3 linked regions of the Arabidopsis thaliana genome follow. The protein of the gene in region 2 interacts with the protein of the main gene of each other region in a pairwise test. Each region holds a gene or a part of one and is shown on either strand. Other genes may lie near its edges.

Evidence for each region. The genes of interacting proteins can lie anywhere in the genome.
Region 1: the proteins of AT2G24860 (region 2) and MYB84 interact in a two-hybrid assay, tested with the Arabidopsis thaliana proteins (one large-scale study listed by BioGRID).
Region 3: the proteins of AT2G24860 (region 2) and AT4G22250 interact in a two-hybrid assay, tested with the Arabidopsis thaliana proteins (one large-scale study listed by BioGRID).

What each region holds. Positions count from the first base shown.
Region 1 is NC_003074.8:18,425,395-18,429,889, forward strand, and holds MYB84 (myb domain protein 84), read left to right. Parts: upstream 1-2,340; 5' UTR 2,341-2,546; coding exon 2,547-2,682; intron 2,683-2,817; coding exon 2,818-2,947; intron 2,948-3,039; coding exon 3,040-3,706; 3' UTR 3,707-3,887; downstream 3,888-4,495. Other genes in the region: BCAT3 (branched-chain aminotransferase 3), read left to right, coding at 1-79. UniProt on the Arabidopsis thaliana protein: Transcription activator. Positively regulates axillary meristems (AMs) formation and development, especially during inflorescence.
Region 2 is NC_003071.7:10,585,972-10,590,734, reverse strand, and holds AT2G24860 (DnaJ/Hsp40 cysteine-rich domain superfamily protein), read left to right. Parts: upstream 1-2,318; 5' UTR 2,319-2,494; coding exon 2,495-2,701; intron 2,702-3,287; coding exon 3,288-3,437; intron 3,438-3,539; coding exon 3,540-3,617; 3' UTR 3,618-4,092; downstream 4,093-4,763. Other genes in the region: AT2G24880 (Plant self-incompatibility protein S1 family), read left to right, coding at 1-181; AT2G24870 (Plant self-incompatibility protein S1 family), read left to right, coding at 1,161-1,187, 1,935-2,075.
Region 3 is NC_003075.7:11,766,847-11,770,587, reverse strand, and holds AT4G22250 (RING/U-box superfamily protein), read left to right. Parts: upstream 1-2,024; 5' UTR 2,025-2,258; coding exon 2,259-2,903; 3' UTR 2,904-3,133; downstream 3,134-3,741. Other genes in the region: IM (Alternative oxidase family protein), read left to right, coding at 1-27, 129-176, 413-621; AT4G22240 (Plastid-lipid associated protein PAP / fibrillin family protein), read left to right, coding at 3,361-3,741.

The DNA.
Region 1 (4,495 bases), on a different chromosome or scaffold from region 2:
GCAACTCTACACCGTTCTGACAAGCTTGCAGATGGGTCTGATTGAAGACAACATGAAATGGACTGTGAATCTTAGTTAAGCCAGGCGAATGCATTGCATCAATTCGGCTGCTTGGTTTTGCTTTCTTTTCTTTGGTCTGTGGTTCTGATTCGTGAAACTATGAGTTGGATTGTTTAGAATCTGGTTGATCTAGAACTTAGCTGGTTCAAGATCATTAGATGTTGTTGCATCATACCAATAATATTATCTTTAGATCTCTGTTTCTGATTAGATGGTTACATCCAATTATTTCTCTAAAGTCTGAGACATCATTGATATCTAACAATCAAAAACTAAAAAGTGAAGTATTAACATTTTAATCAGATTCAAACCAGAACTTATCAGTCATCAAAAATGTTGGCAAATAACAAATCAAACTTAAGTTTTTGGATGGAGAAAGCAAGCTAGATTCGAATCTCTAAGAAGCGTGGACTTGGACTTGTTTACGACCTGAAAAGATGTCATGATTATCTCATGATTACGAGATAATAACATGTCTTATCTACTAAACTAATCTAAAAAGTAGTGAGGATGACTTGAAACTTAAGTCTTATATGAATTATCTTTAAATATAGAAAAAGAAAGGAGATAGAGAGGTGTGTTTTTCATGTGAACAACTTTTTTTTACCTTTAGAGTACTTCCAGAAGACTTATTGGGTCCTTAATAAAAGTAGACCAAATTATTGAAGAGCTAAAAAAAAATGCCTACTCAAAATATCCAAACCTCTTCTTTTAGCCTTTTGTTTTTTTCAATATTCATACTAATGTAAACTACAATCATTGTATCATTCTATAATCATATGAATTTTTTGTCAACACCATGCATTATGCTAGTTTAAATTTAGGTGATGATATAAAGATATTTTAAGTACAAATCAATAGGGGCGATGTTCTTATGTCTTTATCTAACTTTATGAATTTGTGTTTTATATATTATGAAAAATTGGAAAAGAAGAGATGGCCTACGCTCAAGACCAATTCCTACCAATGGGCAATGGTGTTGAAATCTGAACAAAAAAATTTCCTTTCTTTAACGTTAGCTTTAAAGTTCAAAAAACTTTATTTACTTTTTCAGTGATAATTCTGTATAAAATAACATATAACAATGAGGAAAAAACTCAATAATTTGAATCGCTTATGACTTTATTTCTCCAAGTGCTTGACTTTTAAAACCCTAATGTCCAATCTCAACTAAAGTCAACCTTTTTCGTTCGTCTAGAAGAGTCAGTCATTAAGTTTCAATTGAAGTATACAGTAAATTATTAGTACTTTTTATTTTATTTTAACCACAGTTCATTGGCTGTATGAGATTTCTGTTCAAGAAAACATATAAATCGAAACCAAAGCAAAAGACATTATTTGCTTCGGTTTCTTCTACTCAAGCTCATTTTTAGTAAAACTAAATTGTATTTTCATTTTCTTAAAAAGTTAATTGTTTTTTTTGTAAAATCAGTTTTACCAAATTGGACACAATAATGAATATATGTCTATGTCTAGTTTTTTTTAGCTCAGAATATATCTTATGTGAATAGAATCGTCTATCAGATATTTTTGTGATGCAGATAGAACTTACCGTTATAGAATCATTTGTAGATTGTTCATCGTGATTGTTAAGATTAGATTCCCATTTGTAATATAACAGAAACTCGAAAAGTACTTATATTAAGTATTAACGATGTATCATGTGACCAAAATAGAAAATACTACGTAATGATATGATTATTAAGCGAGTGTGTAGGTAATTCAAATATTTCAATTAATCAATCTTTGATATCACTCTTTAGAGTAATGTATTATCTTTCTTATTGTTTTACCCTGGGATTAATAAGTTTACCGGATCCGGAGTAGAATTTCTTCGGTTTGGCAATTTTGTTCACCTACCATAACGAACTTTTACCCTTATACTTAGTTTCAATCTACTTTTGGTGCATCCTTTCATTTTCAACTGCAAAGAAGTAGTTAAAAGATCCAATACATAATATATTTAATTTATCATAAGTAACTTAGTGTAAAGAAAGACTAAAGTACTTTTTAAAATATGTATTTGTATTTCCCGATGTGAAAGAAAAGAAAATTGAATTTGCACATATCAATAATATTAGCTAGGAAAAAACTTGTGAGAAATTTCTTTGACGACTTGCGTGTGCAATAGTCTTCCTTATCTTCTCTACCATTTCTTAATTCCACTATTGTATAGTATTTACTTATGTTGAATTAATAAATTAAAACATTTAAATTTCCCTAAAGTTACTTTTTGATTTTTGATTTTCTATTTTTATTACAACTTTCCTACTTTTTGACATCTTTTCTTACAAAGACTTTTTGACATCTCCCCCTCCAGCTATTATATAGTCTCCTTTTTTCTTTTCTGCATTCACATAATATTTCCCCTATATAGTTTACACAACATCATACCCACCAACATATATAATCTTGATCATAGAGAGATAAACAGAGGCCGCTATCAAGAACAAGACTAAGAACAAGACTTCACTAGGAGTACAAGTATGGGAAGAGCACCGTGTTGTGACAAAGCAAACGTGAAGAAAGGGCCTTGGTCTCCTGAGGAAGATGCAAAACTCAAATCTTACATTGAAAATAGTGGCACCGGAGGCAATTGGATCGCTTTGCCTCAAAAGATTGGTATTAATAAATTTATAGTCACTCTTTTTCATATAAATTTGATAATTCTCTCTTGATCTATCTCTTTTTTTGTGAAGAAGTATTGATAACTAAAGATGCTTTTTGTTTATATGATTATTTCTTGGTTGTTTTAAGGTTTAAAGAGATGTGGAAAGAGTTGCAGGCTGAGGTGGCTTAACTATCTTAGACCAAACATCAAACATGGTGGCTTCTCTGAGGAAGAAGAAAACATCATTTGTAGCCTTTACCTTACAATTGGTAGCAGGTACTATTCATATACGTTATTCATGTATATATCGTTAAAATATCATGTGGAAACTCTGAAATATAGTTATGTGATGATGTCTATAATTAAAGGTGGTCTATAATCGCTGCTCAATTGCCGGGACGAACAGACAACGATATAAAAAACTATTGGAACACGAGGCTCAAGAAGAAACTCATTAACAAACAACGCAAGGAGCTTCAAGAAGCTTGTATGGAGCAGCAAGAGATGATGGTGATGATGAAGAGACAACACCAACAACAACAAATCCAAACTTCTTTTATGATGAGACAAGACCAAACAATGTTCACATGGCCACTACATCATCATAATGTTCAAGTTCCAGCTCTTTTCATGAATCAAACCAACTCGTTTTGCGACCAAGAAGATGTTAAGCCAGTGCTCATCAAGAACATGGTCAAGATCGAAGATCAAGAACTGGAGAAAACAAACCCTCATCATCATCAAGATTCAATGACAAACGCTTTTGATCATCTCTCTTTCTCTCAACTCTTGTTAGATCCTAATCATAACCACTTAGGATCAGGCGAGGGTTTCTCCATGAACTCTATCTTGAGCGCCAACACAAACTCTCCATTGCTTAATACAAGTAATGATAATCAGTGGTTCGGGAATTTCCAGGCCGAAACCGTAAACTTGTTCTCAGGAGCCTCCACAAGTACTTCGGCAGATCAAAGCACTATAAGTTGGGAAGACATAAGCTCTCTTGTTTATTCTGATTCAAAGCAATTTTTTTAATTATAATAATATATTATTCTTAAGATGAAACGTACATCATTATTATTAATTGGGGGTACGTAACGTATATATGGAATAACGATCTAGTTTGTTTAAATTTATTGATATCTCATATATCTGGATTTGAAATTAACTCTAATATGCAGAAGTATGAACTCATATGCGAAAGATCCTAGCGAAGTAATCACATTTAGATAAACAAAATTTGTTATTGTTACTTTTTTTTTTTTTTTTAAAGTAAGAACGTGTAATATGCATGTATGTATATATGTATGGATGCCTATGTGAAAAGAGTTAACACTTAAGAGTATATTGTGCATGATGTGTTACGTTTCCATTATGTATACAATATGATAATACATAAATTTACACGCATAATATACCTATTGGGCGCAAAGTTATACACATTTTAAAATGGGAAAATATTAATGGTGCTTTTGGGGCCTTGGCATATGAGCTGATTATATATGGTCGGATCCATATGTACGTGGTTGGATGTATTGATTGTATATATGCTTCTTTAATTGATTGTATGTTCATCCTACTTTTTCGAATAATTTATGTTTACCTCAATGTCGGATTGTGCGAAGCATTTAGCTGGAAACCATTGATGTTAATAATAAGTAAGAATTAACATAGATGGATTTATAAGGATATAAGAATTAATACCTAACCATTTGACCAATGAAAAGTTTGGATCACCAAATAAATGAATTGTGTGCAACTCTGAACTTCTCAAAGACATGACCTCTCTATTCCTAGCAAGTCACTAGTCTGTTTCTTATTTCC
Region 2 (4,763 bases):
AGATGACATATTCGGTCCAAAAACAATACCAATAGGACAACATGTTGAAATCAATTTTACTATTAATTTTTGGCATACAACACGTTTTATGTGTAATTTGGAACAAGGACCTAACTATAAACATTATCAGAAATTTACAGCATACAAGGTTTCCGGTTTTATGGTTGAGGAAGGCATATAGGACTAGAGAGCAAGAGAAGATGGAATCTATTTAGACAAAGAAAGCGGCAAACATATTGGAAAATCGATTAATTTGCATAAAATGTATGATTGGTTAAATTATGTTTAACAATCTACCTAAGAACAAAAAATATTTTATCTTATCATCTTGAAACAAGAAAATTTACCATTCTTCTTTTCCTTCTTCCCCTTTTCTTCTAGTTTTTATCATTCAAAAGCAATCTCATAATATTTGGTTTTAATACATTTCACAAACCATCTCTAATAACAAAATTCAAATTTCTTGAAATCCCAATTGTAATCATAAAAACTAGTCACAATGGCTATTACGAGAGGCTATTTAAAGGACAATTTCGATTATAAATCCAAAATGTAATTCAAATCCGAATTGTAATCATAAGAAATCCTAATTGTAATCAAAATTTTATCCAAAATCTATCCGTTTCACCCAAAATCAAAGAAAAAAGGATCAAACCATCAAATCTAATATGAAATAAAATCCTAATTAAATACAACACAATCAATAGAATGAAACCTTAAATAAAATCCTAATTAAACACAACACAATCAATAGAGTGAATTAAAATCTTAATTAAACACAACACAACATAATGGTTGGATCGTAAATAAGTGAAAACCCCTTGTTTTATTTGTCTTTTACTATTTTTTGGAGAAAAAAAACTAGATAAACATATTTTTTTTTTTATAATGGGAGCTAAATAGAGAATGTTTTAACCCGAGAGGCCCGAGTAGATTAAAATCCGAATTCAACCTTTTCGGCCAAGAAGAAGAAGAAGGAAATGGCGATTTGCATGTGTTGCGATTCACATCTTGTAAAAAAATCGATTATGAATCCATGGAATTTGCGGAGTAGAACGAAACTAGGGTTTGTACTGGTCGTTTGCCGTTTTCCGACTACTACTACTTTCAAGGCTTCGGCGGTGGATTCACCTGAGAGTTCTTTAAATTTCACCAAGCATATGGATCAAGCTTGGATAATCTCACAGGTTCGTATCTTTCGAGAGTTGTTGAGTTTGTTGAATTTGAGTAATCACAAGAACGTTATTACAAGAACAAAATGTATAAACCTAATTTAGTTTGTCTTTCTCTACTTAGTTGTTTATTGTACTTTACAAATTGTCTATTACTTTTAAAAACAAATACTTTATTTACTAATAGGTTACATAGATAGTATGATATGATTTATAGAATAACCAGTTTATTATTGAGGATTTTTTTATGCACAATTGAATTTCTTAGTTATCATTTGATCTTTCACATAAGGTTTAATATTATCTACAACTGGTTACTTGATTTTATCATTTTTTTCATAATTCAATATTAATAGATTTATGTATATCTAATATGATTATTATAAGATATTATGCCATTTTACATACTATGCCAACAATAGTAATACAAATGTGTGCATATATAAAATCTGAAACACAAAAGCCAATAACAAAGCAAAAATCTAAATATCTACCCAAAAAAAATGAAAAACTGTTTAGTCTTTTTTATTCGTTTTTAGTTTTTGCATGCTTGACCATGTATTCGGCTCTGGAATCAGGATCACCAACGAACTCAAATTCAATAAACTTCTCAGGATTGGATGTTATTCCAAAGATGACAAATTTGGTCCAAAAACAATACCAATCGGCAAACATGTTGAAATCAATTTTATGATTAATTTTTGGCGTACGACGCGTTTTATGTGTCATTTGGAACAAGGACCTAACTATAAACATTATCAGAAATTTACAGCATTCAAGCTTTCTGGTTTTATGGATGAAGGAGGTATATGGGACTGGAGAGCAAGAGAAGATGGAATCTATTTAGACAAAGAAGGCGGCAAACATATTGGAAAATCGATTAATATGCATAAAAGTGTATGATTGGTTAAATTAAAAATATTTAACAATCTATGTAAGAACAAAAAAAAATGTTATATTATCATCTTAAAACTAGTAAATTTATACATAGAAAAAAATTATTTTCTCAATCATATAAGCAAACCAAAAACAAACAAGCAATCTGGATTTTGTTTTGACTGTAGGAAGAATCCAAGGAATTGTAGAGGAGATAATGAGTTGGTTTAAATCATTGAATCAATCATTTTAGCAAACAAAAAGATCCAACTTTAATGGGCCCAGGGTCCAATAACCCAATTGGGTTATTCCTAGACTTTTCTCCTCCTCCTGTTGTCTTCCAATTTGGTATGCGAGAAAAATAAAATAAAATAAAAATAAGCCAAAGACAAATTTAAACCTCCGATTTCAACCTTCTCGGCGAAGAAGAAGAAGAAGAAGAGAAAATGACGATTTGCATGTGTTGCGATTCACATCTCGTAGCGAAATCGATTCTAAATCCATGGAATTCTCCTAGGATAACGAAGCTAGGTTTCGTACCAGTCGTTCGCCGTTTTCCAGCTACTACTACCGTCAAGGCTTCGGCGGTGGATTCACCTGAGAGTTCTTCAAATTTCGCCAAGCGTATGGATCAAGCTTGGATTATCTCACAGGTTCGTATCTCCAGAGAGTTGTTGATGTGTATAATTTTGTTGAATCTGAGTAATCACAAGAACTGATCCTTGATGTAGTCATGTACGAGTGAAGAGCTATATGCAATTTTGTATGAGATTAAGAACTTGGATCTGTGATGAAATGTTGTAAATTTCAGATTATGAGGTGAATAGTATCAGCAAGTTTCAAAAGGATTTGTATCGAAAATCTGTAATTGCAAAGTACCTTTTAGTTGGTTTCTAGCAAAAAATGTTTGTTCACAATTCATTTGATTTGTGCATATGATGAGAACATGTTAGCTACTTAATCAGGTTGTAGCTGTTCTCTATGATCCCTGAGTGATGAGGCTTAAGCAGGCTTATCTCGCAACGCAATGTAGTTTTGTAGCTTTGCATGTACAATTGTTGGATTCTCTGCTTTTTCTCTAATATTGCTCTTAGAGAATCTATCAAAAGTTCAGACTTTGAAGCCTTTCTTCTAGCACTTGCAATTTGATATTGAGCTCGTGTGAATTTTCTAGATGTTACTTGTTGACCTGTGTTTCGATTCAATGATTTTCTTTGTCTGTTTTTTTCTTCACTGCAGCAACCAAGTCCTGTTGGATGTTCATCGTGCAATTCAAAGGGTCATGTGGAATGCAAATGGTGTGCGGGTACAGGATTCTTCATCCTTGGTGATAACATGCTTTGCCAGGTTCCCTCAAGGAATACTTCATGTGTAATCTGCTCTGGACAGGTTTGTTATCTAATAAAAACGAAAGTGCAGACACATTATTGTGTCTTCTTGTTTATATATCTTCCCAAGTATGAACAAATTCGATTCTTTCAATGGTTTTAGGGTTCTGCTAGCTGTAGCGATTGCAAAGGAACGGGGTTTCGTGCCAAGTGGTTGGAAAAACCTCCAGTGCCAACATAACTGATGAACAAAAGCAAGTTAAGCTTTTTGGTCTTTGATGATTTCTTATGGAGGAAAAATGTTTATATATTGATTCAAGTGGAACATGAATCAGATATGCATATATCTTTATACATGTGTTAAGTATATATATGTAAGTTCATTTATTCATTTCCCCTTGTTCTGTCTGTACAACCAAAGGCCTACACAAGAGTTCTTGTAATCGACACGTGAGTTTTACGATTTCGATCATTGGAGTAGCTCAACGGAAGAACATTAGTAGCACAGGGTCACCTTCGTATTTCTTTTGATATTTTCTCGTTGTAGGGTTAAATCATGTGCATCTTCCTTACCCTTGATGAATCTGGATATGGCGTTTCTCTAATAGAATTGCGATTATCATCATCTTAGATACAGTTTGTGCCTAACAAATCCAACCTAAGCTAGTTACTTAATCATTTTCTTTTGGGGAAGTGAAAATGGCATTTGATTTCAGGATAATTCTTAACCAAAGCTGCTAAGTGAAGAACTTGTGTCAGTGTGCATTCCATTTCCCAAGTGATGAGGAAATCTTCAAAAGTGTTCATGTCTAGAGTGTAAGAGGGCACTCGAACACAGTGGTTCGCCGTTTCCTCCATTATATATACCTCTACTTTGCCCCTTTTAGTTTTACTTGTCACAAAACTTTCCAGATACATATTTACTGCACAAAAACTAAATTATTTTGAGTAAAAATTACCAACGCACCAGCAGGTTATTTTTTTTTATTTTTTTTACGGTGTATTGAAGAAAATTTCAAAACTACATAATCGTAAATAAGAGTTTTATTAAATTTTACACAATTAGATGCATTTTTTCATCTGATCCAACTTTCTATATCTCTTCTTTTTTGTGAAACTGTATTTTTAGAAAAATAATGTGTTTTTGACGGAAAATTTGGTGGATTGATTTGGGTTAACCCCTTTTGACACCCCTTAGTTCCACTAATAGTTTTTTTATCCTACACATAAATTTCTATAAACTTTTGTAATCAGATATAGTCACATACATATGGTAGTAAGAATTAACTAATAGGCTATATCTGAAAATGGAAAATGGAAACCGTCTTTTTAATAATGAGCTCAACAAGAGGATTTTCTAGATGCTTGATATAATCGAAATATTGAA
Region 3 (3,741 bases), on a different chromosome or scaffold from region 2:
ATACGGGAGGTGACTTGTACTTATTTGGTGAGTTTGTCTTTCCAGGAATTATCAATATCCTCCAGAGTTGTAGAGATGTTTTTACCTATGATTAGTAGTCTTTTAAACTGGCCCTGTATTGTCTGCAGATGAGTTCCAAACATCAAGAACTCCCAATACTCGAAGACCAGTAATAGGTAGCAAATCTATTTCATATCCGTTTAGTTCTTTCCATCTCTGATTCCGTCGAACCACAAAATGCTAAAAAAAAGTTTATGATTTATCCATGGTTATGATTCTGCGCTCTATAAATGACTGAGATTCTGTCTTATGTTTGTATGGAGGAAGCATTATTCACAGTTTGTGACTTACTTTGATGTTAAAATAAGAATCTATATAACGTTTTTGTTGTTTTGTGATTACGGTTGGGCAGAAAATCTATACGATGTGTTTGTGAACATAAGAGATGATGAAGCAGAACACTGCAAGACAATGAGAGCTTGTCAGACTCTAGGCAGTCTGCGTTCTCCACACTCCATTTTAGAAGATGATGATACTGAAGAAGAATCAGGGTGTGTTGTTCCTGAGGAGGCTCATTGCGAAGGTATTGTAGACTGCCTCAAGAAATCCATTACAAGTTAATAAATTAGAAAGTAAACTAAAAAAGATTATTTGTATCAGCTCATGAACAATAGATATAATCCCATATACTTGGGAATAAAGGAATAATGTGAAATTCCCATCGTTGTGCTAGTGTGTGAGAGAATCAAATACCCTAATGATGTAAATGTACTTTGATGAGCTTAAGTCGTTGTAGACCATTTTATCCATACTACTAGCCTTTGTGGTTGCATTGTCGGTTTCTTCAATTCTTATTTCACAGGAGTAAAAAAAATGTTTAAAAGTACAAAATCATTGAATGTATCATTCTCTCAAAAAGCATATTGGTATTAGCGTTTAGAATCTCTATATCCCACACTTTTATTTTTATTGGTTTTGTTGGGGAGAGTGTGGCGCAAAGACGACGTCGTCTATGCGAACATTTCACGTGGGAAAAGCCTTGATTCATGCGCCTTCTTTAATTTTTCTTCTTTTTTTTTTTTTTTTTTTGTCTCTTCTTTGCCTTTCACTTTTTAAAATGATTTTCCGCGGGTTTAATAACAAAAATGTTTTCCCGCCAGAAAGGTTTTACCAAAAAACCATGTTCCGGTTATAGCACAGGTAAGAGAATTCATCAGTCTAGTATAATTAGCAGTAATCAAATTCGAATACTTTGATCGTCGCTTTTATTTCAGAGTTAGCGTTACATTAATAGTACCTTTATTCGATTGATGATTTGTTTAATCTTTAATAGGGTTTGAACTCCGATGGAGGACCTTTTTTGTTGGTAATATTCCCTTCGTTTCACAATATAAGTTGTTTTAACTAAAAATACGTATATTAAGAATATTTATTTTTAAAATGTTCAACCAATTATAAAAAAAACTGTAGAATATAAATAATCATAAAGTATTAAAATAATATATAATTTGCATAGAAACTTGAAAACAACTTATATTATAAAACAAAAAATTTGGTATAAAACAACTTATATTATGAAACGGAGGGAGTATAAACTTAAGTACTAATTCGATTTTGTTTCTATTCGAGACCTTGAAGACTTTTTTATTTAATTTTAAAACTAAGTCGTACAGTTACAGAAACAGCATTAAATTTTTCCTCTTAAGTAAATTTATTTTTTCTCTTTCTATCAGAAATTCAGAAGAACTAACATTATAGTTGCCCCCATTGCGTACACTGTACATCATTTCTCGGTAAATTACACATAATTATAAGTTGATTAACCTTTTAAGTTTTAAACAATGATGTAAGTAACTTATTAAAAATTGGTTTTTAAAAATTGAAAGTTATATACTCAAGTTGGAAAAATATTTTACAAATATACTCGATTCCACTACTACTGTAATTTTGTGTGGAATACCAGTCAAACAGAATCGTTATAACTGTTAAAAATTAGTAAAACTGTATAAAGTAATTTTAATTCGCGGGAAATCAATATTCGGAAGCAACTTTAACAAAAAAAATAAAGAAATGTGAAGAGAAAAAAAAAACTCTGAAAACTTCCTTTATAATGTCATCATCACTGCGAGACCCAAAGATCTAAACAGTTTCTCTCTCTCCCTCACAGGGCTCTCTCATGGCGGAGCTAATCTGTCTATTTCACTGGTGATTCTGTTTCACTATCTGAGAATTTGTTTAGAGTTTCCGTTACCGAGTCGATGATGAGTGAACTCGATCTCGGAACGAGTCAGAGGATGACGGAAACACACCGCACGACGACGACGTTTCTTGATTTGCTCCGACGACAGATGAGCGGTCACGATCTCACCAGAAGGAAACGGACGTTAAAAGAACGGTTGAGATTCAAATGCATCGGATGCTGTGGTCCAACCTGGAATCTCCGTCTAACTAACAACACCACTCTTCACAGTCCAACCTCAAGAGACGACGAAATCGAAGAGTTACAAATTGAAACCGGACTCGTTCTCGAATCGGATCATGGATCGGGTACGGGTATGAATCTCGCGACAGCGTTAGAAGCGGAGAGGTATAACCGTGGAGAATCGACGGAGGCGGAGGCAGATATGACGCCGAGGAGAGTTTCGTTGATGAGATTGTTGGAAGAGACGGCGGAGAAAATCGTTGATGACGACGGGAAAGAAACGGAGATATTAACGGCGTCTATTGGGACGTTAACGGGTAATGATTCGGTGTGTTGCGTGTGTATGGGAAGAAAGAAAGGCGCTGCGTTTATTCCATGTGGTCATACTTTTTGCAGAGTGTGCTCTAGAGAATTGTGGCTGAACCGTGGATCGTGTCCTCTTTGTAACCGTCCGATCATTGAGATACTCGATATTTTCTGAAAACGATCGGACGGCTAAAAGTTCTCGATCCACGTGAGTAAGTGAGGTGATCCCTAGATACGTTTCCAAAGTTTTAACTACGGTTTGTGTACTTTGTACGTTTCTTTTGGTTATTGAAGAAGATGATGTAAATGCAAAAAAGAATACAAGAGGTTTTTTGTTCACGAGGCCCATTTAGTCTATTCAAGCCCAGTAAACCGTTATTTTGGATTTTATCTAGCCTAAACAATGCTCGCCTCACACCGTCGAGTGGATTCTTGGCCGTTGATCTTGTCTCTCACGTGGCAGTATCGTAGTCGAATGTACATGATCTATGTGGAATAGTCGATATTATCCCTCTTGGTGTGAGTTTGGTAGTTGATGAAAGCAAAACATTTACGTAACAATGTCTATAAAATCAGTACAGGTCTATTCTTGTTCACTAGCTTCGAAATTTTAGTCGAAGAAACAAAAAAAAATGGCGACGGTACAATTGTCCACCCAATTTAGCTGCCAAACCAGAGTTTCAATCTCACCGAACTCTAAATCTATCTCCAAGCCTCCGTTTCTGGTACCGGTGACCTCAATTATTCACCGCCCGATGATCTCCACCGGAGGAATCGCTGTTTCCCCCCGTAGAGTTTTCAAAGTCCGAGCCACAGATACGGGAGAGATAGGATCAGCTCTATTGGCGGCGGAGGAAGCAATTGAAGACGTGGAAGAGACGGAGCGGCTAAAGAGATCGCTCGTGGATTCGTTGTACGGAACAGATCGAGGTTTAAGCGCATCGAGCGAAACCAGAGCTGAAATCGGAGATCTAATCACACAGCTCGAGTCTAAGAACCCTACTCCAGCTCCG